Saccharomyces cerevisiae S288C: one gene and its partners. Changing the gene in region 4 together with the main gene of any one other region gives a genetic interaction. Each region holds a gene or a part of one and is shown on either strand. Other genes may lie near its edges.

Region 1 (8,258 bases), on a different chromosome or scaffold from region 4:
AGAGACTTGTATCCAATTCTAAGAACATGCTACCGCGAGAAAACTCGCCGGCAATTATTGACATACCATCATGAAAGAATATTTGACGATATACCATCTTTTTTCCCCCAGCGTGACTTTATTTTCAATTACTACTCGATGCCTCTTGAATTCGACAGGTTGTCAGACGTAGATATAGATTCGTCATCGCGGTCACGATTTACAGATGAGAGCACTGGAGAAACATTAAACCGTTCACCAAGCGCAGCGTCTTCGTCGTTGGAAAACACATCTTGGTTTGGCTGGACTTTACTTTCTAGGTTTTTGGACAGAGAATGGTAGAAGAAAGTTAGATACCCTCATTCTAAAACGTTGTCCGAACACCATCAGTTAGTTTTTTCTTGGTTTCATTTTTTCATTTTTTTCTAAGATGTATATATATCCGTGCACATATATGCTACATTATATTATACAAGGTCGGATGGCGAGTTATTATTAAATTATTATAGTTAATCACTTCATTAGTTTTTCTCCCCCATAGCTTCTTTGTGTGTGCTCTCCAGATAATTAACATGATTGGTCAAATACTCACACATTGCATCCCATTCTGGGGTATTAACTTTATCGGTAAAATACTTGAATTTAATAACTTGGCTTTTCGGAGTGGTACAGAAGGACCCCCTCATATCATTGAATAAAAACAATTCAAAATCCATTCCATAGCGATGCGGCTTCCTGAAGCCCCGTACTTGTTCGCCATTTGGACCGATAAATCTGTTTTCATGATAAAGAGTCCATGGATCTGCCTTGTAGAAACTGGCATGAATGAACATGATATCCAAATCAGAACCGTCATCATTAACCATCAAAGTTTTCAAGAAACCATTGTCCAAAGTATAATCTGGATCCAGTTTGGAAAATTCCTCAATGTTGGCTTTAACTTTCTGCTGCGCCTTTTGGTATTGCTTGTAATCTTGTTCAAAATCATGCTGGAGCAAGGCGAGACCCTTGTAATCATCTTTTTGATAGAAGAAACCATCAAATTCAAAGTTAGTCCTCACTTGATAGTATGGCATATTCAAGGCATGGGCAGCAGCGACGAAAGTGTCTTTGTCACCTTCACCGGCAGTGCCTTGAGAAATCATCTTATAATACCAGGTAGGCCCATAAACATTATAGTATAGCGCCAGTAATAGAGTGTTGAAATGGCGAATCTTATCAATCACCATCTGGCCTGATTCAGAGCTCAAGTCTGGCATCGTGCCGTCCAGATCATGTAAGGGAACATGTTTCAGGAAATGCTCCTGTCTCTCCTTTGGAGTGTAATCGTTTGAGTTACTAACAAATGGATCATAACGTGACACGGGGGAAATATCGTCACTAACAAAACGGACTCTTTTGCCGATGTTAATGCTAGATCCTATAATGTTGTAAAAGGCGGGAGGGGTGACACGTCTCCAAAAATCGGGCCACAATATCAGGCCAGTATCGTTGAAGGATGTAGTGTTAAAAGCAAGGTCAAGGTTTTTCACCGCATAGTTATCTGCGTCCAAGAAGATAATACGCTTGAAACTGGAAATTATCAACCCAAAGACTTTCAACTGGAAGTGCGTGAGTTTTAAATCGCTTAATGGCTTTGAAGGAACGATATCTGAGAAATAAATGCACTTACCATTGAATTTCGGCAACCAGTTCTTACAAAAATCATCCTCGCCTTCGTCCTGAGGCGGAATGATGACTTCAATAGGCAATGTAGTACCCGTGTCCCTCAACTTTTTGATCATCGTATACGCGAGCACAGAATACTTTCCACCTCCAATGGTGACAATGCCCTCAGAACCTGAGAAAAGTGCCTCTCTTTGTGGGATGGAAAAATTCAGTTTCCCTGATAAGGTGTCTGTAAACTTACTGTGCACTTCTCGTAGGCTTTCTTGTACTGTTTTATTCAAATTATAGCATTTACTCAAGCTCTCGTAACTTAAGTCACTATCGTGTCCAGAGTCGTGTGCAGCAACGTTATTTGCAAAGCTACACCCTTCCGCCCCATGCAACTTACTCAAGTCCGGAGACGAATCTGCCGGCTTGTTTTCCACGATGGCTTGTACCAGTGTTGTGTAAAAATTGTTTTTAAGGTTCGACCTTGTTAGAACCGGCAATCTAAGCTTTTTACCGTATAACCAACTAGAAGACACATCATTATGCACAGAACAAAAAAATAAAATTAGCACTACTGCGCTCACGATGACCTGCAGGATTTTTCTCTTCTTTAACCTAATCAGCATTGTAACCTGAACTATTAGTATATCCTCTTGTTGTGCTAGGAACCAGTCGTAAAATAAAAATTTCCAATAACCGTGAAAATGCTTTTTTCATATCTGCGTATATATAAAACACTTTAAAGCCGTGTTGATCCTTTAGTTGTTACACTTTTTTTTCCCCGCCGATGAGAAAGTGAAAAAAAAAATCCGCAAGAACGGGGAAAAAGATAAAAGAAGGCACTTATCTCTCTGAACTCTGCACCGAAACATGCATCTGTCGTCTATTCCGACTTGGCAACCAAAAGAAGCCCAAGAGCTAGTTGCACTTAAATCAGTAGAATCGTGAGATTGTTTATTATCTTACTTCTGTTAGAGTGCTTCGCTTTCCATGCATCAAACTATGGATTTGTGCTGATCTTGCAACCATCGTCCTCTAAGGAAAGAAATGTGGCACCTTTAAATAGGTTCCACCTCACAGATGCCAACATGTGGGAGATAGGGGGCTATTCGCAATTTATTAACGTCTCTAGTACTGGTAAGCCTTTCTAACATTCTTGTGGTCACGTGATGTGTATGTTTCTTTTTTTTATTCCTCCGGGTGATAACGACGCGAAAAATATTTTTTCATTTTTCTTTTAACCATCACAATTTGCGACGCGACGCGAAAAAAATGCAGAGAAGTAAAAGAATGCTGGATAAGAAATCAACAACACAGTTGAACATTGGCGTGCCCCTGTGTATTAAGTAAAGGTTGTCCAAGAGGCTCTTTTTTGTATGTATGCGTGTGTTAACTATCCTGCACATCATCTTGCGCAGTTAGTCCAATAAAAAAAGGATTACTACTGAACAGGTCTTACTATTTTTGATTGCGTAGTGCTGGGGAAAAGTAAACACACACAGGCGCACACGAGAACAGATGAGTTCTTTGGACGAGGATGAAGAGGACTTCGAAATGCTGGACACGGAGAACCTCCAGTTTATGGGGAAGAAGATGTTTGGCAAACAGGCCGGCGAAGACGAGAGTGATGATTTTGCTATAGGGGGTAGCACCCCGACCAATAAACTGAAATTTTATCCATATTCGAACAACAAATTGACAAGAAGTACGGGGACCTTGAACCTGTCATTAAGTAATACAGCTTTGTCAGAGGCTAACTCCAAATTTCTTGGGAAAATTGAAGAAGAGGAAGAAGAGGAGGAAGAAGGCAAGGATGAGGAAAGCGTGGATTCTCGTATTAAAAGGTGGTCTCCGTTCCATGAAAATGAAAGTGTTACTACTCCTATTACAAAAAGATCTGCGGAAAAAACGAACAGTCCTATTTCTCTCAAACAATGGAACCAGCGATGGTTTCCGAAAAATGATGCTCGCACTGAAAATACATCCTCATCCTCTTCATATAGCGTCGCTAAACCTAACCAATCAGCCTTTACGTCTTCGGGCCTCGTATCTAAAATGTCTATGGACACTTCGTTATACCCTGCGAAATTGAGGATACCAGAAACACCAGTGAAAAAATCACCCTTAGTGGAGGGAAGAGACCATAAGCATGTCCACCTTTCGAGTTCGAAAAATGCATCGTCTTCTCTAAGTGTTTCCCCTTTAAATTTTGTTGAAGACAATAATTTACAAGAAGACCTTTTATTTTCAGATTCTCCGTCTTCGAAAGCTTTACCTTCCATCCATGTACCAACCATAGACTCATCCCCACTGAGCGAGGCAAAATATCATGCACATGATCGTCACAATAACCAGACAAACATCCTGTCTCCCACTAATAGCTTGGTTACCAACAGCTCTCCACAAACATTGCATTCTAACAAGTTCAAAAAAATCAAAAGAGCAAGGAATTCGGTTATTTTGAAAAATAGAGAGCTAACAAACAGTTTACAACAATTCAAAGATGATTTATACGGCACGGACGAGAATTTCCCACCTCCAATCATAATATCAAGTCATCATTCAACTAGAAAGAACCCTCAACCTTATCAATTTCGTGGACGCTATGACAATGACACTGACGAAGAGATCTCCACTCCAACAAGACGAAAATCTATTATTGGGGCAACATCTCAAACACATAGAGAAAGCAGACCATTGTCACTCTCCTCTGCCATCGTGACAAACACAACAAGTGCAGAGACGCATTCCATATCTTCCACCGATTCTTCGCCGTTAAATTCCAAAAGGCGTCTAATCTCTTCAAATAAGTTATCAGCAAATCCAGATTCCCATCTTTTCGAAAAATTTACGAATGTGCATTCCATTGGTAAAGGCCAGTTTTCCACGGTCTACCAGGTTACGTTTGCCCAAACAAACAAAAAGTATGCAATCAAAGCCATTAAACCAAACAAATATAATTCCTTGAAACGCATATTACTGGAAATTAAAATACTAAACGAGGTAACAAACCAAATTACAATGGATCAAGAAGGGAAGGAATACATCATCGATTACATCAGTTCCTGGAAGTTTCAAAATTCATACTATATTATGACAGAATTGTGCGAAAATGGTAATTTGGATGGATTTTTACAAGAGCAAGTTATCGCAAAGAAAAAAAGGTTGGAAGATTGGAGAATTTGGAAAATCATCGTGGAATTAAGCCTGGCTTTACGATTCATCCATGATTCTTGTCACATTGTGCATCTGGACTTGAAACCCGCAAACGTCATGATCACATTTGAAGGTAACCTAAAACTAGGTGACTTTGGAATGGCTACTCATTTACCGTTGGAGGATAAAAGTTTTGAAAATGAAGGTGACAGAGAATATATTGCACCAGAAATCATTTCTGATTGTACGTACGATTACAAGGCAGATATTTTTTCCCTGGGTCTGATGATTGTTGAAATTGCAGCGAACGTTGTGTTACCTGACAATGGCAACGCATGGCATAAGTTGAGATCGGGTGATTTATCGGATGCAGGAAGATTAAGTTCCACAGATATTCATTCTGAATCATTATTTTCAGACATTACGAAAGTAGATACAAATGATTTATTTGATTTTGAAAGAGACAATATCAGTGGTAATAGTAACAACGCTGGCACCTCCACTGTTCATAACAATAGTAATATCAACAACCCTAATATGAATAATGGCAACGATAATAATAATGTCAATACTGCCGCTACCAAGAATCGTCTTATTTTGCATAAAAGTTCTAAAATTCCCGCATGGGTACCGAAATTTCTTATTGATGGTGAATCACTTGAGAGAATAGTACGATGGATGATAGAGCCCAATTATGAGAGAAGGCCCACGGCAAATCAAATCTTACAAACTGAGGAATGCCTGTATGTAGAAATGACACGCAATGCAGGTGCTATTATCCAGGAAGACGACTTTGGACCTAAGCCAAAATTTTTTATATGATAAATGGAACAAAAAACCTTGTTTTATTTACATACTTTTTTCCCACACGTGCTTATGGGCCGCATTGTATAAATAATCCAATAACGAAAAAGAGTGTAATTGCAGTCCGGTAGTAATACCATGTAAAACCTTAGATGAGTTTATTTTAAGTACAGCCGCTTCAAGCATTTTTATTTTTATTTTACAGATGTAGCAGATAACAACCGTTAAATTATATTATATATATATATATATATATATCAAATACGACGTATTACATATATATTGAGAATAAGGGAAGGATGGAAGACAAATGACAAAAAGTTTGAAGCATAAATATGTTCTTCGCTTAGATGTTCATCTTGGTTCTTCTCCAGTTTCTTCTCTTAGCGTTGTAACGGATAGTGTTGTTGGTTCTCAATCTGATCCATTGTGGCAATGGTCTGTTTTGCTTCTTAGCCTTAGCCATTTTTTGCTTGATTCTGAAAGACTTTTGAGCCTAATTAAAAGGGAAACATATCGTGCACATACGAAGTGTACAATTGTAAAAAATGTTAGTAACAATGTTCAAACTCATCAATGTGATGCATTCACGGATCCAAGGCAATACCACCTGACATAAACCACGCTGGACCACCAAAAGTTCTCAGAATAAGCAGTTTATGACCATATTTTAATCTGCGTAGTGGCGACTTTAGATTTCTGTTTCGGATAAGAAAAATTTTAGTATGGTTAACACTCCTAATCCTTTCCCTATATTTTACACATTGCTTCTATTTCAAATCCAAATTGTAGGTGGTAAGGTCATTTAGATGGATGTGGTTTATAATTTGCTATTGATCAGTTCAGCATCTAACTGGGATTTATAATATCTTTCTAACATACAGCCATGTTGATCTATCTGTGTTTATTTGCTTGTCTTTTTCGAATTTTCAGTATAATATGAATGTACCAAAAATTGTAGAAAGTATATTAAGTAGAAGTTTTAAAGTATCTATCAAGGCGAAGAATAATTCTCGGTTCTCGACAGCCCAAAAGCCGAATTGCGTTAGTTAGCCCACGCGCGAGCGTAAACGCAAGGACCATTGAGCTTGGAACAGAAGGAGTCGCTTCGGCGTCCCCGCCAAGGCGTACTGTTTGCCTCGGCCTGCCGCGTGGTGGTGGTAGTTTGAGCCGGAGCCTAAAACGCCCATAAGTTTTTTGAAAATCAAGCTAAAAAATGAAAAAAAAAAAAAGTTAAATTGGTACTGTGCGCCCATACATCACATACTTAAAAGTGTGTAATTCCTCTATACATCCACACCTCACTATTTGAAAAACTCAAATATTGAGGACGCGCGATTACCAGCGGCATGTTTACTCGCTGGAAGATGTGAAATAATTCTTGAATATGGGTTTGCAGTTAGTCAATTTCAATCTAAATAATCTTAATCGACTATTCAATTCTTAAATTGTAAGGTTTTTTAATGGCCTTTCAGTTCTAGTATTTTTTATAAAACAAGACCAACATACATATCCAAGATGACCAGATCTTCCGTTTTAGCTGATGCTTTGAATGCCATTAACAACGCTGAAAAGACCGGTAAGCGTCAAGTTTTAATCAGACCATCCTCCAAGGTCATTATCAAGTTTTTGCAAGTTATGCAAAAGCACGGTTACATTGGTGAATTTGAATACATCGATGACCACAGATCTGGTAAGATTGTTGTTCAATTGAACGGTAGATTGAACAAGTGTGGTGTTATTTCCCCAAGATTCAACGTTAAGATTGGTGACATTGAAAAATGGACTGCCAACTTGTTGCCAGCCAGACAATTCGGTTACGTCATCTTGACCACCTCTGCTGGTATCATGGACCATGAAGAAGCCAGAAGAAAGCACGTTTCTGGTAAGATTTTGGGTTTCGTTTACTAAGCTACTTGTTACAACAACCTTTTCGGTAGCTTTATATACTATAATAAACACAAGATAGCCTCATAACTTTACTCATTTCTTATTATACATTTTTTTAGTTTTCCTGTTAAATACTAATATATTTGTACTTTAAAACTGTTCAAAAGATTAGACAGAAATGAATTTATCTGCCGCATTTCTGCATGCACGAAGTCGAATATGCAAATGTTTATATTGGCTTTATTAATTAAACAAACTATATTTATGTGAGAAGGTAAAGCCGTATTTCCATGCGTTAATAGAGTAAAAAAAAAAGAAATCATAATCTTCTACCTCTTCTACCACCCTTCTTTCTGGTGGAGTCTGATGGGACTGGAGTAACGTCTTCGATACGGCCAATCCTCAAACCAGATCTGGCCAAAGCTCTCAAAGCGGCTTGACCACCTGGTCCTGGGGTCTTGGTTCTGGTACCACCAGTAGCTCTGATCTTAACGTGAACGGCAGTGATACCGACTTCCTTACACTTAGCGGCAACATCTTGGGCAGCCAACATAGCAGCGTATGGAGATGATTCGTCTCTGTCGGCCTTGACTTTCATACCACCAGTAACTCTGGCGATAGTTTCCTTACCAGATAAATCGGTAACATGTACAAAGGTATCGTTAAAGGAGGCGTAGATTCTGGCAACACCAAAGACTTGAGAGTTATCGCGAGCTTGAACAAGGTCTATACATGATAAGAGGTATAGTTGTTAGTAAACAGAACTTCTGCTT
Region 2 (7,224 bases), on a different chromosome or scaffold from region 4:
TTACTGACGAAGCTTCTGTAGCAACCAAAGTAGAAGTAACTGATGTATTTTTAGAGCTAAACAGTCTAGAACTTGCTAAGCTGGAAATTGCCGATGGAGCTTCCGAACTCACTAGGCTAGACGTTGCCGATGAAACTTCTGAACTCATTACGCTAGATTTTGTTGACGAAATTTCCGAACTCACTGAGCTAGACGTTGACGATGGAGCTTCTGAACTCACTGAGCTAGATGTTGACGATGGAGCTTCTGAACTCACTGAGCTAGATGTTGACGATGGAGCTTCTGAACTCACTACGCTAGACGTTGCCAATGGAGCTTCCGAACTTACTGAGCTAGATGTTGTTGACGAAATTTCGGAACTCACTGAGCTAGATGTTGACGATGGAGCTTCTGAACTCACTACGCTAGACGTTGCCAATGGAGCTTCTGAACTTACTGAGCTAGATGTTGTTGACGAAATTTCGGAACTCACTGAGCTAGATGTTGACGATGGAGCTTCTGAACTCACTACGCTAGACGTTGACGATGGAGCTTCTGAACTCACTACGCTAGACGTTGCCAATGGAGCTTCCGAGCTCACTGAGCTAGACGTTGCCCATGAAGCTTCTGAACTAATTACGCTAGACGTTGCCGATGGAGCTTCTGAACTTACTGGGCTGGAAGTGATGGATAAAATTGTAGAGGAAAATGGTAGGGTTTCAGAAATAGTAGAGCTTGCGGGGCTGGAAGTACTTGATAGTAGGGAAGAAACATCGGACGTGCTTGAACTAAAAACTTCCTTTGAGGCATCGGAAGTAGTACCAACTGAAGTGACAGCCGATCCTGAGGAACTTATCTTTGGAGAAGATGAAACGTCAGTAAGCGTGGTAAATGTGGAGGATGTGACTGCAGTTGTATCAGAAGATGAAGCAGTAGTTTCAAGGACAGAGGACTTTCCCAATGGCTCCGAAGAGGAACCACCTCCATTTGATGAACTGGTTTGCGGGGAAGATGTTTGAATAGCACTACTACTTATGGAGTCAGTCTCTGTAGTGGAGCTGGACAGTTGTGCATTTGTGGAGGAAAGCGCACTGTATGAGTTTGAGGGGCCAGAGGTTGATGATTCGACATCGTTGACTGATGTACTAGAAATATCGGATGATGTGTAAGAAAGAGAAGAAAAAATGGAAACCAATGACTCCGATGATAGAATTGAGGCAATTGTATCAGAGGAGAGCGACGAGCTAGAAGTAAACTCGGGTACAACAGAAGAAACTAATGTGCTAGAACTACTGACAATAATTTCTGGGCTAGTTGTAACTTTAGTGCTTGTCGTGCTTGTCGTGCTAGTGGTAGTAGGCGTAGTTGTACTGGTTGTGCTACTAGTAGTAGTCGTGCTACTATGCGATGTGGTAGTGGCTGTGGTCGATTTTGAACCAGATGAACCCATTTTGATACGGCGCTACCCTTTCTTGTGGATACCTTTTCTATGACAGAATCATTGACAAATCTGAGGGAACAAAATTACCACAGGTGTGAGTGAGACTTTATATAAAATTAATATTTCATTTTTAGCTTTGTTCCACTTGAGAGGAACATGGGCAAAGATAGAGACTAAGAAAACATGTTTTCAGAACTTTACTGTTGACTGCTGAACAGTCTTAGCAAGATGCTTATTTTTACGTGAGTTCTAAGTCGCCGTGGACTGACACCTTCGCTAAATTCACAGGCAATGATCGCAAACGAGCTTCATGAAAAAAAGTTTATTTTGGATCAGATCTGCGCATGGTCCAGAAAATTCGCCTTAACGAAAGGTACACAATTTTGCATTAAATGTCAAAAAAAATAGAATATGCGATACAATTATACCTGAGATGAATTTAGTAAAGTAGGTGCAAAAGATGGTATAATACTTGAGCTACATCTGGGAAACTAAAGCACATTTTACGTTCAAAGCGAATAGTAAATTAGAGAGAACAGTTGCGCGTGGAAGGCACGGGCACCGCTAAATCTAAAGAAATTACATACTATTTCATTCTTGCTGTCATTTTTTCCTCATTAATCACCACTTTTAAGCAGGATATAAGAATAAAAAACTCGATTTGAATAAAAACTATGCTTTCCTTGGTACATACGTCCTTTTGAGTACATAAGTAATGTCAACTGTGTAGGAAAGAGGTGACGTCCTAGGCTCGGCTGTGTGATATTACTTTTTAGAACCTTTTTGATAGAGGCTAAATGGTAAGGAAAGTTAATTTTATTCGAATTTTGGGCCACCTCTCTTAGAAAGGATTACTGCTAACTTCATAGTGTCAGATCACTCGTGTTTGTTCTGAATAATGAGGCAGGCGGTATACGAAAGAAGATATCCTGCTTATTTGGCTCCTATTGTTCAATTAATTAATCGATTGGCCAACGACTTTCCTATCGTATAGAAGAAACTGTTTGAAAAAAGATGGCTTATCCAGGAAGGCGCCTGAACAAGTTCTTGCTTCCCACAGTAAAGAAAAATCAAAATGGCCGCCATAGCGGTGCAGGAAGGTCTTGCCTATCGAGGATATTGTTTTTACTCCAAAAGGAAAGAGGAAAGTTAACAAAATCAACTTTTCAAACGGAGAGTATAACACCCGGAAGTTAAAAACTGTGAGGAAGATAAAAAGAAATCTTCACGAAGTTTTTTCCATTTTGGTGATCTAATGAAGTCAGCTATCACTTTTTTGCGCTACGGGCTTTATGTGACGCAATAGCCCGTGCCACTTTAAACTTTTTTGTGCCTTGGCACCTTTGGCAGTATACGAAGAAGATCAATTAAACAAGAACGACGAGATCTCGGACAAGATATGACAGGGTTTAAAGTTTCTTCTTTTTTTTATATTCTGGCATTGTCCCGCTTTTTCAACGCAGGAAGGGAACGAGCTTGTGATAAGTTAAAAATTACAGTTACACATCTATACTGGTTTATTATACGCAAACTTTTGTTACATGAGGTTCATGTTCATGTTAGTCGTGTTTGCAACGTTTCTTTTATTTTGTCTCCTTGCCTCTTTCGCAATTTTTTTACGTTGTCTCTTCATGTACTCTATGTAATGTATGAGCAGGCTCTGACACCCGAGTTCTTCCGTCAATGGTGGGATATTATTCAATCCAAATGATCCTTGATCTGTGGAATACTCGCCAAGAATTAAGTGGCCCTCTTGAGCGACCCACCTAAAAAGAGATGTTTCAAATTCTCTAGTATAATGAGCTGCCACGAACCTCTGAACTTTTTGATCCTTTTGGTCGATGGACATCTTATTTTTAGCGGCTCTAATGACATCTTCATCCAAACGATTCACTTCATAATCTGCTAACAGAATTAATTTATAATGATCGTTGGTAACTACGGGCGAATAAGTGACATGCCACCTGAGATTTAAATTATTCACTTTAGTGTCCAAATCCCTGTGTCCTTCTCGGTGAGCCATTGCTAGTAAGTTGGGCTCCGTAGACGTAGTCCCTACGAAGCTGTAAGTTACGTTTGCTTGGCTGACATTTTTATATATGTCGTAAAGAGGCACTTTATACAATATTAATCCGTTGTTTGAGCAAACGATTTTTGCCACAGTATAAGGCGGAGGTTCGTCTGCCGTTCTTAAAATAAATTTGAAAATTTTATAATATGGGACATTGCCGACCACAGTATTGCTATGACCTCTTTTACCAAACGGTAGAGTGCAATTGATAATTTGGAATAATGGAATACCAATTGCATCTGGACTCAGCTCATTCGAATACTTTTTAGTGTTTTCAAAATTTTCAAGCGATTGCTGAGACGGAAACATGAAAAACCCATCCTCGCCGTTTATCTCGGCTATGGGCATTCTTCTTTCCCTATTAAAATGAAAGCACTCTGGGACACTTTTGCTATCGGACATTTCAATCTTCAATCTCTGCTCATCTTTAAGCCCATCTGCTGCTTTCTTAAGAAGGTATCTACTTATTGAACCCATAATCAGATTTTTCTTGAAAAACTTTTAATGGAAGCTTAGCACCTGCTTCGGTCTTCTTTATCTTGGCGAACTTTGCCAAATCTGTAGTTGTTTCAAATACTGTCATGTTGGCAGTCTTCTTTTTATATGCGTTCACGCCGATGGCCAAGCCTACAACATTTTCTCAAAAAGGGACCATTGTCCCTTGCTGCGCCAAAAAAAAGAAATAGGCGCATACGTTCCGTCATCTATCGCTCACAAAAAGTGGAACCGGTAGGATTTTATCACTGACACATACCGTTGTACTAAGAGAGCAATTAAGTCGACAACGCAATTGATATGCGCTCTTCGTTATCGAACCCTAGCGGTGTATTTTTCGGACAAACTTACTGTTCATTATGGCCGAATGCTTACCTAAAACGACACTTCTGGTCGTTTTCAACTCTCATGCTCTAAGCAATTAGGCTTTTGGGGCGAAGCGGACAAGCTCTTAAGGCCGTGAATAAAGAAAGGGAGATGAAAGGACGCCGTAGCAGCTGCAATAGCTTTCTTTCGGTCATCAAAAATCCCAGTGAATTCTTGGGGGACACTTGTGGGGTTGCATTACTCGAAATGCTTCGGACGAGTACCTGATTCGTTAAACATATATATATCTCATGGTGAATTGGAAACGGTTGTAGATCTTATATAGGAAAAGTCATTCATAACTAGTTCCATGCCGACTAAGTATTTCGTCCAGGCTCGGCGTTCTTGTTGAACGAATTTTCCCATAATCATCCAGATTTCCAAGAACCTCGCCTTCGTAACATTTTGCAACAACAAGTGGATGGAGAATTTTGGCTATTTTTAGTTCAAGAAAACTTAGAAATTTTTCAACGGTTTTTTATCTCGTTAGTATTATCATTCCAAAAGTATACTTATGTGGGTACATAGTTATAAATATATGAGGGAATCTATCTATTAAGGTTAAAAAAGCGTTACATCGTAAAACGGTAATCATGGCTGCTCAATTTTAACGTAGTCACCATTCTTGGCAGAAGATTTTAAAAACGCGTCCACACAAGCCAAATGGTGAAATGCAGTTCTGGGTGTGCCTAGGTATAAGGATTTGTCCTTCTTGCTGACAGCTTCGTGAAAATTCAAAAATTCAGCGTTGACGCCGAAACTTTCATCATTATCGACTTTAAAAATTTGTTCGTCACCGTTATCTTCAGCTGAACCCCCTAATTTGACTTTTACAACGGGGTCTTTTTTGTCTGATAAGTCAACGGTAACGGTACCATTCTTACCATAGACTTTCAAGAAAACCGACTTTTCGGTAGCACCAAAGGCAGACCCATAAGTAAAACTTCCGATAACCTCTTTATTTTTCAACTGGACAGTAGCAAAGACAATATCATCTGCACCGGAACGTTCACGCACCTGTCTCGTTAATGCAGAAACAGATCCAAATTCACCGAGTAGGGAAATAACGAGAGCTAATTGGTGGACACCACCATCAGATAGAAATCCGCCAATGTGCTCTGGTTTTTGTCTCCAGGTTGTGGTCAAATATTTATTTTGAGTAACAAATGGACCGGTAGAATTGTGGGTGAATGCTACTACAGGACCAATTTTCTCGATCTGCTCCTTTGCGATTTTAATACATGGTAAATATAACCAATTTTCAGCCACACCAACGGGCAATGGGGTGGATTCTGCTATCTTGACAATCTCCTTTGCTTGGTCTAAGTTGGCCGCAATTGGTTTTTCCAAAATAACTGGCTTACCTGCTTTAACTGCCTTCTCGACAATATCAGCATTAAATTGAGCAGGTAGCAAAGCGTCAATGTAGTCGACATGAGGGTCATTCAAAATTTCATCTAGATTGTCGTAAACCTTATTTTCAGGTATGTCAGCAACCTTTGCAAAATCCAAAGCTTTTGCCTTATGTCTGTTGAAGGCGGCAATGACTTTGAATTTGTCAGGAAATTCCTGGTAGGATGGGAGATGTCTATCTCTGGCAAAAATACCTGTACCAACTATACCGACGTTCAATGGGGACATTTTTGGCTATTACTTTACTTTTTGGAACCAAGAAGTGATTATGGGTCTATTCGATGTACAGAAACAAATAGGTTTGAGCGAGTTCGAAAGTTTATCCAGAATAAGTAGTTCTTTTTATAGACGAACACCTATGTATTGTGATACATAATCATGCTGAATTTTCAACAGGGGATAACTCCGTTTATTCCCCGGCGGAGGGCGGAATTAAGCGGGGTTATTAGTTGATTTGGAAGCCACGTCTTTTTTAATTTTGAATGAGAAGTGAGACTACGTACTAAGTTAATCTATTATTATCTTTATATGTAAAAAAACCCCGACCGTGGTGAAAGGCTTCTTTGGTCTTGCTTTGACAATTGCTTAGTGGAAACGATACTTTGTGTCCAGACCTAGATGTATTTAGCAACAGCTTCTCCATCGTAAATTGTAAAAGGCGTATCCTTACCCACGATGGCGATTGAAAGATTGTCTACAGTCAAGGATTCGTCCCTTAGAGACTGGCTGATAGCCTCGACGCCAGCTTTGATTAGTTCATCCGGGTTCCCGTCAATTTTTATAAACGTGTCTAAAGTTCTCTCTAGATAAGTCTTTGCCCCTTGGCTTCTTGCGCCAATAGCTGTACCATATAGTTCTGTGACATTTCCGGAAGGTTGGAATTCTAAAAGATGAGCACCGCTCTTGTCATACCCGATGATCAACAAACCAACACCGTAGGGTCTGCCCCCATAGGATTGTGTATTTTTCTGTGCTTTATCGCAAAGCAAATGACCTGCTCTCTCGACGGCAAGCTTTCTGTTAAAAACTAAGCTGGAGTAATTACACTGTTGTCTCAAATAATTACTTAAAACTCTAGCATCTGGAGCCAACCCGGCTAACGAGAGCCCCATGTGCTCGTCACATTTGATGATTTTTTTCTGGTATGATGACAATTCGTCTGCATTTCTTTTCAACGCTACTAAAACAGCATGAGTGTTCGAACGTAACCCCACAGTGACGCTCCCTTGTTTAATAGCTTCCAAGGCGTATTCCACTTGGAACAGACGGCCTGTAGGAGAAAAAGTGACTGTGTCCCCGTCGTAATTGTTCCTGAACATGTTTTGTAAATATATGAAGGCTTAGTTCAATGTATTCTTACCCACTTCTCTTGAACTTCAATTGATCACCACGTCTACCTAAATGTAGTGGCGTCTTGGTTCTTTTCCATACTTTGACGATACTTTTGAATTTTTAATTT
Region 3 (6,648 bases), on a different chromosome or scaffold from region 4:
GTCATTGCGAAACACTTCACATGTTTCATTAAAGCACGAAACGCGAAAAAAAAAAAAAAATAAAAAAAACAAAAATAAAAACAAAAACAAAATGTGTTGAAAGTTAATATACCAATTGATAAATTGAAGCAAGGCCTGGGATGTTAATTGGAAGAAATTTTATCGTAAAAGAATATACAAGTTAAAAAATATAAACCCAAGGTACGTATACTTGGAATATTACACATTCATTATATACATATATATATATATATATATATATAATTAAAAAAACCGTCGATAGAAATTGAACCTTTAAAATAATAGAAAAAAAGAATACAAGATAAATAAAACCTCAAAAAAGTGAAAAAGAGCTAGAAAACCATGCAGTTCTTCAAGAAAAAGAAAAAAAGAAAGGAAAAGTGACACTTGTGGGTTAAGTTTGACGAATACCACTATGAAATCAGATACTACGGTGTAGAAACTCGAAAAAAAAAAAAAGGTAGTGCCTCTAAGGCCTGCTAGCTTTTGTAATTAATGTTCTTAAATCTCACTTGTTCTTGTTGAGATCTTTCATTATCATTAGATTGATCCAAGTTGAAACTGAAGTCATTATTGGTGGTTGGCGCCATTAATACACCCGGAGCTGCACCTACCGAAAAGTTGCTGTTATTATTGTTGGTATTGCTGGAACTACTACTTCCTAATCTAGAATGAGGAAGTGTGGTGTAATTGTAGTTTATGATTGGTTGGTTGGACGGATTCGAACTGTTCACAGAATTGTTAAAATTATTTTGGATAAATTGTGATTGCAACGTACCCATGTCTTTTTGCGTCGGCGAAATCATACTATGTGAGCCCGGATTGCTGTTACTACTGCTGTCAATGTTACCTTCAGGGTTGCCGTTATTTTCAGAATCATTAGCAATAGCATTATTTGCATTTGTATTTGGATTCAAAATTGTGCTCGCAGGATGGTTTTCTGGTGAGGAAATTGTTGATTTTTTGGTTCCTACACCTTTTCCTCTACCTTTAATTCCCCTGTTTGAATTTTTATAAATGGACGCAAAGTACTCCAAAAGTTGCCGCTCTTCAAGTGGAATATTCTCAGATGGATTCATCTCAGCTAATTTTGCCGTTAAGGCATTTAATGTTTCCTTATGAAATCTATTTTGATGGGCCTTCATATTTCCTAGTTGAGTGAAGGTCTTGTTGCAGTTTTCAAGCTTGCAAACAAATGGTTTCAATTTTTGGTGAGTAACCAAGTGAGCAGCTAAGTTCCCTTTCCTAGAAAATTTTTTATCACAAATATCACATGAATACGGTTTTTCACCTGTGTGTAGTCGTTCATGAGTTCTTAAGTTCCCACCCTGAGTAAAACGTTTGCCACAATAATCACAAACGAATGGTTTGTACCCTATATGAGAACGAACGTGAACCTCCAGATGAGTCGCTTGCGAAAAAAGCCGATGACAATAGGGACATTCATGTTTTTTAACTGCTCGTGTATTTTGTGTGCCTTTTGGTTTCTCCACACCACCTACTAGTTCGCTTTTAGGTGGTAAAATGTCCATCGTTTGGTTAAACAGTAAGTCTCCATCTTGAGTGGTATTTACTTTCTCCGTGAAACCTTTCTTTCTTGCTTGAATAATCAACATTAGTTGGTCGACCTTTGTTGCACCTATCAGGTTAGTAGCATCATCACTTACTGAACTTATGTCAGGTATAGGAGGTTCTTTACCAGAAAAGTTTGCCATTGCTGCTCCTTCAGCAGAAGTAGAATTGTCTTTACTCATCGGGGGATCAGTACGGGGCATCTCATTCTTGACGTACACAGTAGAATCATCCTTTTTCCTTTTCTTGATAATATTAGGTTGCATACCAGACTCGTCTATATGTTTGTTCAATCCCTCACTGCCTTCAATTACGTCGTTTTTATCCAATGGTCTTGATATAGCACTAGAGTAATTATCCTCATCATTCAAATGTTTTCGAAGTCTTTGTTCTATTTCTTTTAGATCTTTCCTACTATTGCTTGTGGTATCGGTAGAAGCAAGGCTATGGTCCTCTTGGTTTGGGATATTAGTACTGGTGGCGGAATTAATACTATTGTCGTTATTATCATTATTGTTGTCATTGTTGTTTTCATTGTTGTTGTTGTTGTTGTTGTTGTTATTGTTATTGCTACTGTCATTGCCATCATCATTGTCAACTTCATTACTTTTTCCTTTCATGTTATTGGTAACATTATCCGCGACAGGATCACCATTAGCTTTGTTGTTAACGGATAGTGAGTTTAATCTTGATTCAGGTATAAACGCATTTTGGCTGCTATGGTCCAAAGTACCTCTAACAAAAGAATTCCGCCTTTTGAATTGAAAATCGAAATCTTCAGGATTAAACTTCAAAGAATTATTTCTTGAACTCAAAAAGTACGGGTTCTGATTAGAATTACTGTTGTTTGTACCAGTATTAAAAAATGATTCATAATCTGCATTTGTGTTCATATTCCCACTATTATTGGTGCCATTGGACTGGCTTTTAGTAGTTGCTGCAGGTATTAACAGTGGAGGTCTCATAGAGTTTGATTCTCTTCTACTGCTAGGCTGGAACTGCGGTTGCTGTGACTGCTGCATACTGAAAAATTCAAAATCAGGCCCATCATTAGGTCCAAGATAAACAGAGTTTCTTTTTGAAGGTGGCTGCGAAGTATTATCATTTCTTGGTAAAAATTGATATTGAGAAGAACTTCCCGTTAATCCCGTCGAAAATGAAGGGGTCTTGAAGGGAGGCTGCTGGTGCGACTGCTGTTGTTGTTGTTGCTGCTGTTGCCGATGCTGATTTTGAAGCTGCTGTTGTTGTGGGAAGAGGTTGTTTACAATGGAAAAGCCGCGTCCGATTTGCGACAGGTCTGGCGGTTGATGTGTACTTGAAGTGGATAATCGTGGAAGATTGGAATAGGCGCCGCCAGAACTAGGTCCTCCTGTACTTGTTACTGGTACGTTATCAGATATGTTCAAGAATGAGTTGATAGAGGCGTCCGTGGAATATCGTGGCTGGTTGAAATTTGTATAATATGAAATCGACTCATTCCTTTGTTGTTGATGTTGCGGTTGAGAAGAAGCCGGTTGACTTTGATTAAGAATAGGAGTAGGGCCTTGCCCATGCTCCTGGTTTTGCTCCCCAGCTTCGCCTGATGATTGATTTTGGCTTTCATTTTGTCCCGCCTGCGTAGGGCCCATGAACTGTGCAGTTGGAGGAGGCATGGCTGGTAATTTTTCAATATCTGAATCTTTTGAAGTATATCGCTTGTGTAGCTGTTTTTGTCCCAATTAATTTCTCTGTGGGACCATCTATAGTACTACAAGGTTCCCTTTTCTGATGACTCTTCTTGCTTATGCTTCATTTCTACTGGAATTAAAGGGACCCTTCTTTTCCTCCACTTCTCAAAGAAGCGAAATCGCGGGGCACGGGCGTAATGTTTCTAAATAACGATTAACACTGAATATATCCTTCTACAATACGTAGGGCTATATAAGTCTTGGGATCACCAATTCGTATCCCAGGAGTCTGAATCCCCATCATCATCCCAGCCGTCAACATTTCCTTTCTTGGTTACCGAGCCGCGGATACTACTTATAGGCTTACTTCTTGCAGTTTTATTGGACAGTGACGATTTGGTGGTAACAGTAGAGTTACTAGCAATGTTTCTTGGTGCTAGGATCGTTGTTTTCTTCTTCTTGATAGAAAGCCTTGAGCTAGGAGCGATGGATTTTGCCAACGTTGAATTTTGTGGCCTTGTGTGTTTTTGAGGCACCTTTGATGGGCCGCTTTCATCTTGAATCCAGCCATCATCATTCAACTCATCATTCCAACTTTTATTAATTTTAATAGGTTTTCCGAATAATTTTGGGGTGCTTGCGGTTGTTACAGGGTTTGTTGTTTCATCGAAGGATTCTGTGGTACCATTTGTAATAAAGCCATCGGTATCGCTGAGGTCGTCCCATCCACTTCCATCCTGGGCGGAATCAATTTCGCTCTCGGTAATGTTACTTGGTGTTGTTGCTGAGGGAGAATTTAAACGTAAATTATTTAAAAATTGTGCGGCTAACAAATTGTCTTCTTTATTCATATCCTCTTCATCACAACCGTAATTCTCAAAATCAATATCTTTCACATCTTCCGAATCTGCAGTACTATCGTTTGTTTGAATAAGTTGGGCTTCTTTTTCCAATTTTTCCAGATATTCTTCGAACAGGATTTTGGCTCTGCCTCTTACTATGGGACTTTTATCTAATAAACCAGGGGCAATGACTGTTAAAATTTTGTTGGCGATTGTGTTCACATCAAACAGCTCAATCGACTTCTCAAGCCCATAAAGAGCAGCCAATCTTGGTTTTACTTGAGGATCTTTCAAAGATTTTGTGAACGCCGTAGCTAAAATATTCGAGCGATTACCAACTGACGTTGATAATATGGTTGAGATTTTACTTATTATGATGACTGTCCATGTTCGGATTTCAACGTCAGAATCAACCTGTGTTTTTGCGAGAAACCTCAGTAGCTCATTATTCAGTTGTCTCTCTGTTAAACATGACACAATGCATGGAATTGTCTTCAGTGTTTGTAATCTAAGAGTGGCATCAGAGTCGGTCAGACCTTGGATAAAATGTGGATATATCCTACTGGAGATCTCTGATTTGCTCAATGGACCTATTAATTTGGGTAGGTATATTAGTAAAAGAAATCTTACTTGCCTATCTGGCAGTTTAAAACTTTGGGTGATAAGGTCGTTGAAACCAACTGGAAAGGTGTTCGTTTCAGAAGTTAGGTCTAAAACAATCGCTAAGAATGGTACTAGTTTATGTGATGCGTTGAAGTTCATGCCTATAGGGCTGGCAGCACTACTGATGCTTTGTGTCATTAATAATTTTATAATTTCACAAAGCTCTGGAATAATAAAATTTTCTATCATTCCAGGCGTTAAATTACGGAAAATCTCTCTTGACTCTAAATACAAATTTTCCAAGTTTGACATCACAACCAATTTTCCCTGTGGGTCCTTTATATGCAACTCCCTCAATTCTTGATAAAAGTTTATCAAAGGATTAGAACGCCAAGTTTCTGTATTTTCTAGCCTTTTTCTGAAGTTTTCGATTGTTATCTTTCCATCTGAAATCATATTTACATTGACAATCCAATCTTTGGGCAGACAAGAAGGAGCCATAAGGCTCTTTATCAACAATCCTAACCCCATTGAATCAATTGTATTCGGATCTTCACAGGGCAACTGTGAGCCAATTATGTTGTAATATGACCTCGCTCTACTGGCAAATTCAAACGCACTTAATCCTTCTTTGCTTGAACAAAGTTCTAGCCCAAATAGTACCCACTCTCCCTTAATATTGATAAAAACAGAATCTTTAGAAAGCGTACCAAGGACAAAGTTTTTTAAAAATCCTAAAGTTGCCAATAATTGTGATATTCCTAATTCAACACCAAATTTGTTTTGAGATAAAGAGCCTAGATTATCCCAAGGAAATGGAACTACTCGTTCGGTAACAATAAATGTGGATTGGGGGTCGGAATCAAATGTCTCCAGCACCGTACAAAGTCCTGGAATCTTCAAAATTTTGCTCTTGTGTACAGCATTTAAAATTAAAGATTCATTTTCTGGAGATCTTTTTGCCTTAAAAACTGTTACTGGCAAGGAATCTGCCTTCCTTGTACCATCGAAACATTGCCAAAGGGCGGTTTCAGTGATTGCAGTTTCCTCTATGGTGTATGGGAACTGGAAATTCGAAATAGATTTGAAAATGCTGGAAAAATTCATCACTTACAGATACTTGTTCACCAATAAAAGCAACGATAGTAACAGTGTCAAACTCTCGACTAAATAACTTGACGATATTATTGTTTTTAAGATACTTATATTTAATATAATCATAATATAAACAGACAAAGAGAAAGGGCCTTTTTGAAGGTGAAAAAAATAGAAGATGTGCGCGAAAGCGTGAAATTCAAAATGCGTATTGCTTTAAACTTTCTTTACCATCAATCGAAAAACTGTCTCGTAGAATGTTAATAGCCGTGTTATTTAGCGCATGTATCTATTCACCAATGTGGCCTTTAATATCCGTTCCACTCATTCTTCTGGTGTTGCAAAGATTAACATAGTTAACTGAGCAACACCAAAGAAAACCTAAACGAAGGTTATATGGAATTAGCCTCAGCATAGAGTCCTTTGAACGTTTTATTGAGCGGTAAACCAACTACGTTATAGTAATCACCTTCAATTTTTTCAATTAGAATAGCACCTTGCCCTTGTATTTTAAATCCACCGCCAACCTCCAGCCCATCTCCGCTTTCTACATATTCTTCCAATATTCTCAAAGGTATTTTGTTATCAAAGTATACCTTGGTTTCATCTCGGAATGGTACCAATTCAAAGTTTTCTCTGCCGTACCATTTAATTAAAGTCACAGCGGTGACAACGTTAACTGGTTCATCATCTTCATAGCAAAACTTCATTAAAAACTTCTTTTGGACCTCTTTTGTTTTAGGCTTCTCGTAGATTCTCCCACTCTTATCTATAATAATTGTGTCTGCACATATGATAAGCTTAGGTTTATCAATTTCATTTGGGTTTTCATCTTCGTAATCTGTCAA
Region 4 (7,348 bases):
GTTATGAAGCTGCAATATTGGGTTATTTGGGACCCATTTTCTTATATCTGCCGTTCGTTTCTGAAGCCTTCACGCAATATGGTGTACTTTTAGGAGGTATTATTGCCATTGGTGCCTATATTGTTCAGATGCCAGAATTAAGGTTGATTTCTGTAGCTGTGGGAACTTCCATTACCGTTGCAACGTTTGTACAAAATCTAAGATATATCACAAATGCGGAGACTAGTTTCTCTTTTGCTCTAACTTGGCTGTTAGGTCTTGTTGCATCTGTGATCTTGAAAATGGGGTTCTATACCAACAATCCAACTTGGGTCATTTTAGATGAACGTAATGGTGGGTATAATAAGACAGCTCTCGTGCTTACTGTTTTATTCGGCATGCTGTCGCCTTATGTTAATTCAATTAATTTCGAAGGGAAAAGGAATGCTCAAGCAAAATCTGCTTCGTTGATTGGCAAATTATTTTTGGCTGTTGGTTTTGGCTCGTTGTTATTCGGAATTCATCAGTTATTGACGGATTCTTCTACTACTATTTATTGGGCATGGGAAGGTTACAATGAATCACACGGTCCCTTGCCATGGCCTTGGGGCGCCTTAACTTGTACGGTCATGTTATTTGCTTCTTTGAGTTCTGTGAAGTTTATGGGCAAGCCATTAGTTCCATGTTTGTTGCTTCTCATATCCACTGCTGTACTTTCAGCTAGAAGCATTACACAATGGCCTAAATATATTTTCGGTGGTTTATTGTACGCTATCGCTATGCTTTGGTTAGTTCCTTCGTATTTTTCTGCATTAGGCCAAGTTCAAAACATATGGGTTTATGTCCTATCATTCTCCGTTTATATTATCTTTGTCCTTGCCCATGTTTGGGTCGTTGCATACGCATTTGTTCCAATGGGCTGGGTACTGAGGGAGAAGATTGAGACGGTTCTTGCCTTTTCTTCCACATTTATCATTATTGGTGCTTTAACATGCAAAAACCTTAACATTCAACTGGTGACTATGGGCAAAAAATTCTTCATTTATGTTTTCTTCTTTGCCGTGGCCCTGCTATCACTAACAGCTAGGTTCGTGTATGATATTAGACCTACAGGAATTCCTCAGCCTTATCATCCAGATTCTCAGTTGATTACAGCTGGTATTTGGACTATCCACTTTGGTCTCGATAATGATATGTGGGCATCTGAAGACAGAATGATCAACCTTATTAAAGATATGGAACTAGATGTGGTAGGTCTACTAGAAACAGATACACAAAGAATTACCATGGGGAACAGGGATCTAACTAGCAAACTAGCTCATGATTTGAATATGTATGCAGATTTCGGACCAGGTCCAAATAAACATACCTGGGGCTGTGTTCTTCTTTCTAAATTCCCTATCGTAAATTCTACGCATCATTTATTGCCCTCTCCAGTTGGGGAACTTGCGCCAGCCATTCATGCCACACTTCAAACGTACAATGACACTCTCGTTGACGTCTTTGTATTCCATAGTGGACAAGAAGAGGATGAAGAGGATAGAAGACTGCAAAGTAACTACATGGCTAAGCTCATGGGCAATACGACTCGCCCAGCTATTTTATTAAGTTACTTAGTTGTTGATCCAGGTGAAGGCAACTACAATACGTACGTTAGTGAAACATCCGGAATGCACGACATTGATCCTTCTGACGATGATAGATGGTGTGAGTATATCTTGTATAGGGGCTTGAGAAGAACAGGATATGCTAGAGTTGCAAGAGGAACGATAACCGATACGGAGCTACAAGTTGGTAAGTTCCAAGTTTTGAGTGAGCAAGCGTTAGTAGAGCACTCGGATTCTATGTATGAATACGGTCATATGAGTGAACCGGAATATGAGGACATGAAATTTCCAGATAAGTTTTTAGGCGAAGGTGAGAGGGGTCACTTCTACCATGTTTTTGATGAGCCACGTTATTACTTATAAGAGGCCGTAAGGTGGTTTTATAAATCAGTGTAATCACATTGTGTGTACTGAAAATCTTGATAACTTAAGGTAAGTTATGTATCCACCTGATTTTTTTGACCTCGAATTTTAAAAATTTATGTGATTTCTTTATGTATGTTACTTAGACGATCTTGTTATAGTTTTGTAAGAAATTATACTTCCTGAAACGATTTATCCCGCTACTTTTTGAGCGTATTTCACAGTAAAATATATACTACAACTGAACAACGTTGTTGAACTCTATGTTAAACATCAACGAAGAAATTCTTAAGTTCTATCTGCTCCGAGTCATCATTCTTCCAAATTTCTAGTAATTTCAGACTTCTTTGAACAAGCTCTTTATTCGGCATTTGTACTTCCTCTTGCTCGTCTTGTACCTCTTTTTGCTTCCCTTGTTCGGCATTACCGTCTTTTTCACCTTCTTCTTTTTCTTCACCATTAATTGGTTCGCTAGCCTTATCCTCTGCAATTAACGCTTTTATTTTTGTTTCTTGATCTTCCACATAGTCGTTCCATTGCTTCAGTTTTCCTTTGCATTTTGATATTAGTTCTTCTTTTGATTTACCTTGTAAGTCCCTGAAATATAAAAGCAAAAGATCATTATATACTGAGGGGATTTCGTCCAAGTTGAAAAAATGCTTAATAAGCCAATTTTGCTTTTGCTTGGAAAATTTCCAAACTTCAACAACACCAGACTCTGATGGCTCGTCTTTGATCAGGGAGTCGCCGTAATTTTCTTTTACACTTTCCAATTCTAGGATTCCGGTGGGAAACTTGCTCTCAGACTTTGTCCTGAAAAATTCTATCAGGTAACGTAATTGATCTTTAAGAATTTTATTTTTTTTCGAATTCTTTTCATCCTTTGACAATTTTTCCTTCTTCTTCGTCCCTGGTTTCGACACACGCTTCCCTTTTTTGGTAGAGGATTTGCTCTCACCATTAATGATTCTTTTTTTCTCTTTCTTTGTCAAATTACCAGTGGATAAATGCGTAGTGATATTTAGTGGATCATCATCTATTAGATTGGATTGGCCTTTTTCTTTACTTTCGTCACCACTGCTTATAGTCTGTCTCTTCAAAGCAATTCTTTTCCAGGCAGGAACGTGATTTTCGGACATTTAATTGTGAAGTGAATGTTTCTTCTGCTTGTAATTTGTCGATAAAGAAAGCACTTATGACAGTACTTTGATATTTGAATTTAGCTCATCTCTTTTCGTTCCTTTTTCTCGCTCGAAAATTTTCAATAATTTGCAGTAAAAAGGCGATGCCAGTAAAAAACTACCTGCAAAGGGAGCGTTAGACATATCTTTTATTGGCGACAAATATTTTTAGCGATATATATCCGTAAAGATCTGGCGATATTCTTTATCACTCGATGATAATAAATTCTTTTACACTTTGCTATTTTCCATGAGAACGGTTGGTATTCCTGTTCCCAATAACAAAAGCGTTTGCATATTTTTATGGTGAAGGTACTATCAACTGTAAAGTATGTACAATAGATTTATTAAAGGGAAACACTTTTCGTAGTAAGAAAAGCAGGTTTATAATTCAATTGTTTTAAAGCTGAATAATGCCGTGGTGTTAAACTACGACCGAGCTATAGCAACAGCATCGGCCACACACTCTCTCTTATTCTTATGTTAATAGTCGACCTTTCAAGGATGTTCTTGTTGGAATAGAAATCCACTATCGTCTATCAACTAATAGTTATATTATCAATATATTATCATATACGGTGTTAAGATGATGACATAAGTTATGAGAAGCTGTCATCGAAGTTAGAGGAAGCTGAAGTGCAAGGATTGATAATGTAATAGGATAATGAAACATATAAAATAGAAGAAGGGATAATCGTAATATTAGTATGTAGAAATATGGATTCCATTTTGAGGATTCCTCTATCCTTGAAGAGAACTCCTAGTATATTCCGTATACATAATATTGTTGCTTTTCTCGAATCATGTATCAAGATTACTAGCGCAAGTGGTTTAGTGGTAAAATCCAACGTTGCCATCGTTGGGCCCCCGGTTCGATTCCGGGCTTGCGCATCTTTTTTACTTTATATACTATTTTTTTTTTTTTTCTTTTTCCCAAATTTTTTCATGAAAAATTTGGCGGAACGGTACATAAGAATAGAAGAGATTCGTTATGAAAATTTTCTACTCTCTTTCACATTTTTTTTTTCATAAGAATTAAAAAAATAAGCTTAATGCCCTCTTTGTACGATGGTGTCACTCTAAAATTATTTACGTAATTTAATTGGATGTGATATCAAGCACTAGTTTTGTTTGGAGGAGCAGAGATTGAAAGCCTAGCTTTTACACCGGTTTGAGTCGGTTCCTTCGTTTTCTTAGTTGGAATTGATATAGAAGTGTGTGGACAATCGATTTGCAAAACTTTTTATTTTATGTATTACTACTGAGCTTGTTTATCTGTATACTTTTTTCTTATTATTATGTAGTTAGAGGTTAGTTCTTATCGTTTTCTTTAAAAGCGACCTTTCTTCGCACAAAGCAATGTTGACAATCGAGCCAATGCATTTAACAATTGCAGTAACCAGAAGCGAACAGTGGAGGATATGAAAACCATTATTATTTCAGATTTTGATGAAACAATCACAAGAGTTGACACAATCTGCACCATTGCTAAATTACCGTATCTACTGAACCCGCGGTTGAAACCTGAGTGGGGTCATTTTACCAAGACATATATGGACGGATACCATAAATACAAATACAATGGAACGAGATCACTGCCGTTGTTATCTTCAGGCGTACCTACGATAATTTCGCAGTCTAACTTCAATAAGTTGTTTGCGGACGAATTAAAATATCAAAATCATAACAGGGTTGTTGAGTTAAATAGTGTAAATGAAATTACAAAACAACAGATTTTTAAGTCGATTTCTTTGGATCAAATGAAAACGTTCGCCAGAGATCAGAATCACGAAGATTGTTTACTAAGAGATGGTTTCAAAACGTTTTGCTCTTCAGTTGTCAAAAATTTTGAAAGTGATTTTTACGTTTTATCTATAAATTGGTCAAAAGAGTTTATTCATGAAGTCATTGGTGACAGAAGACTTAAAAATAGTCATATTTTTTGTAACGATCTAAAAAAAGTTAGTGACAAGTGTTCTCAAAGCTACAATGGTGAATTTGATTGTCGGTTATTGACAGGCTCTGATAAGGTCAAGATACTGGGTGAAATATTAGATAAGATCGACTCAGGTTGCAATAAAGAAGGAAATTCTTGCAGCTATTGGTATATAGGGGATAGTGAGACTGACTTGTTGTCCATATTACATCCATCTACTAATGGTGTACTGCTAATAAACCCGCAAGAAAATCCTTCCAAATTCATAAAAATTACCGAAAAGATTATTGGTATCCCAAAGGATAAAATCTCGAGTTTTGAAGCTGATAATGGTCCAGCGTGGTTACAGTTTTGTGAAAAGGAAGGCGGTAAAGGTGCCTACCTTGTGAAATCCTGGGACTCTTTAAAAGATTTGATCATGCAGGTAACAAAAATGTAGAAACGGATGAAATCCTGTATATTCAAATTTATATAACCAGGACGTTGCAGTGCTAATAATAATGGAATACCGCTAATTTTCCTCCTGTTTTTTCTTTTTTAAGTAAAGATAAAATAGTATTTCACTTGCACTATTCTTCTATCTCCGTAATCGGTCTCGGTCTAAAATTACTTTGAGATGTTCAAATACATGGGGCTAATAATTTTAAGGGCTTGCAAAGAACTTATATGTCACAGTGATAATAAGTAAAGGATAAACATGCGACCTGTTAGACAAATCGCACATGTCTCTAAAGGGTAAATTTTTCGCCTTTTTACCTAATCCTAACACATCTTCCAATAAGTTCTTTAAGAGTATATTGGAGAAAAAGGGCGCCACAATTGTGTCAAGTATTCAAAATTGTCTTCAATCTAGCCGTAAGGAAGTGGTCATTTTGATTGAGGACTCCTTTGTTGATTCTGATATGCATTTGACTCAGAAAGATATTTTCCAAAGGGAAGCAGGCTTAAATGATGTCGATGAATTTCTTGGTAAGATTGAACAGTCAGGCATTCAATGTGTGAAAACCAGTTGCATCACAAAGTGGGTCCAGAATGATAAATTTGCGTTTCAAAAAGATGATTTGATTAAATTTCAACCATCCATTATCGTTATATCAGATAACGCTGATGACGGACAAAGTTCTACTGATAAAGAGAGTGAGATTTCAACTGACGTAGAAAGTGAAAGGAATGATGACAGCAACAATAAAGATATGATACAAGCTTCAAAACCTCTTAAGCGACTCTTACAGGGGGATAAAGGAAGAGCTTCCCTTGTTACTGACAAAACGAAGTACAAAAACAATGAATTGATTATCGGAGCGTTGAAAAGGTTAACAAAAAAATATGAGATCGAAGGTGAGAAATTTCGTGCAAGAAGTTATAGACTGGCTAAACAGTCGATGGAAAATTGCGATTTCAATGTTCGTTCCGGTGAAGAAGCACATACTAAATTAAGGAATATCGGGCCTAGTATTGCCAAAAAAATACAAGTTATATTAGATACGGGAGTTTTACCAGGTTTAAATGATTCAGTGGGATTAGAAGACAAGTTGAAATACTTCAAAAATTGTTACGGCATTGGGTCGGAAATTGCTAAACGCTGGAATCTTCTAAATTTTGAAAGCTTTTGTGTTGCAGCTAAGAAGGACCCAGAGGAGTTTGTATCAGATTGGACAATTTTATTTGGTTGGTCATATTACGACGATTGGTTATGCAAGATGTCTCGGAATGAATGTTTCACACATTTAAAGAAGGTTCAAAAAGCGCTGCGTGGCATTGATCCTGAATGCCAAGTCGAATTACAGGGAAGTTATAATAGGGGCTATTCCAAGTGTGGTGACATTGATCTTTTATTTTTCAAGCCGTTTTGTAATGACACGACCGAGTTGGCAAAAATCATGGAAACGCTTTGTATTAAGTTGTACAAGGATGGCTATATCCATTGTTTTTTACAGCTAACGCCAAACTTGGAAAAGCTATTCTTAAAAAGAATAGTGGAGAGATTTCGTACAGCGAAGATTGTTGGGTATGGAGAAAGAAAGAGGTGGTATTCTTCTGAGATAATCAAGAAATTTTTCATGGGAGTCAAATTGTCTCCAAGAGAATTAGAAGAACTGAAAGAAATGAAAAATGATGAAGGCACATTGTTAATTGAAGAAGAAGAAGAAGAAGAAACAAAATTAAAACCGATTGACCAATATATGTCTCTGAATGCCAAGGATGGAAATTATTGCAGAAGATTAGACTTTTTTTGTTGCAAGTGGGATGAGCTTGGAGCAGGAAGAATACACTATACTGGA

Evidence for each region.
Region 1: mutations in RBP95 (region 4) and MNN5 together harm fitness more than expected from each alone (negative genetic interaction), as found in Saccharomyces cerevisiae (2 studies listed by BioGRID).
Region 2: mutations in RBP95 (region 4) and DIA1 together harm fitness more than expected from each alone (negative genetic interaction), as found in Saccharomyces cerevisiae (2 studies listed by BioGRID).
Region 3: mutations in RBP95 (region 4) and AZF1 together harm fitness more than expected from each alone (negative genetic interaction), as found in Saccharomyces cerevisiae (2 studies listed by BioGRID).

Annotation. Positions count from the first base shown.
Region 1 is NC_001142.9:74,158-82,415, reverse strand, and holds MNN5 (alpha-1,2-mannosyltransferase MNN5), read right to left. Parts: upstream 2,262-8,258; coding exon 501-2,261; downstream 1-500. Other genes in the region: ATG36 (Atg36p), read left to right, coding at 1-321; tyrosine protein kinase SWE1, read left to right, coding at 3,154-5,613; 60S ribosomal protein eL39 RPL39, read right to left, coding at 5,942-6,091, 6,478-6,483; 40S ribosomal protein uS8 RPS22A, read left to right, coding at 7,114-7,506; 40S ribosomal protein uS11 RPS14B, read right to left, coding at 7,805-8,211. UniProt on the Saccharomyces cerevisiae protein: Responsible for addition of first and second mannose residues to the outer chain of core N-linked polysaccharides and to O-linked mannotriose. Implicated in late Golgi modifications.
Region 2 is NC_001145.3:901,569-908,792, reverse strand, and holds DIA1 (Dia1p), read right to left. Parts: upstream 3,969-7,224; coding exon 2,958-3,968; downstream 1-2,957. Other genes in the region: YMR317W (uncharacterized protein), read right to left, coding at 1-1,429; YMR316C-A (uncharacterized protein), read left to right, coding at 2,820-3,131; YMR315W-A (uncharacterized protein), read right to left, coding at 4,400-4,507; YMR315W (uncharacterized protein), read right to left, coding at 4,944-5,993; PRE5 (proteasome core particle subunit alpha 6), read right to left, coding at 6,380-7,084. UniProt on the Saccharomyces cerevisiae protein: Involved in regulation of invasive growth.
Region 3 is NC_001147.6:530,672-537,319, reverse strand, and holds AZF1 (Azf1p), read right to left. Parts: upstream 3,246-6,648; coding exon 501-3,245; downstream 1-500. Other genes in the region: COPI-interacting protein CEX1, read right to left, coding at 3,527-5,812; YOR111W (nucleotide diphosphatase), read right to left, coding at 6,193-6,648. UniProt on the Saccharomyces cerevisiae protein: Transcription factor involved in the diauxic shift. In the presence of glucose, activates carbon and energy metabolism genes, and in te presence of glycerol-lactate, activates genes needed for cell wall maintenance.
Region 4 is NC_001135.5:139,374-146,721, reverse strand, and holds RBP95 (RNA-binding ribosome assembly factor RBP95), read right to left. Parts: upstream 3,089-7,348; coding exon 2,216-3,088; downstream 1-2,215. Other genes in the region: CWH43 (Cwh43p), read left to right, coding at 1-1,949; CTO1 (Cto1p), read left to right, coding at 4,552-5,505; POL4 (DNA-directed DNA polymerase IV), read left to right, coding at 5,789-7,348.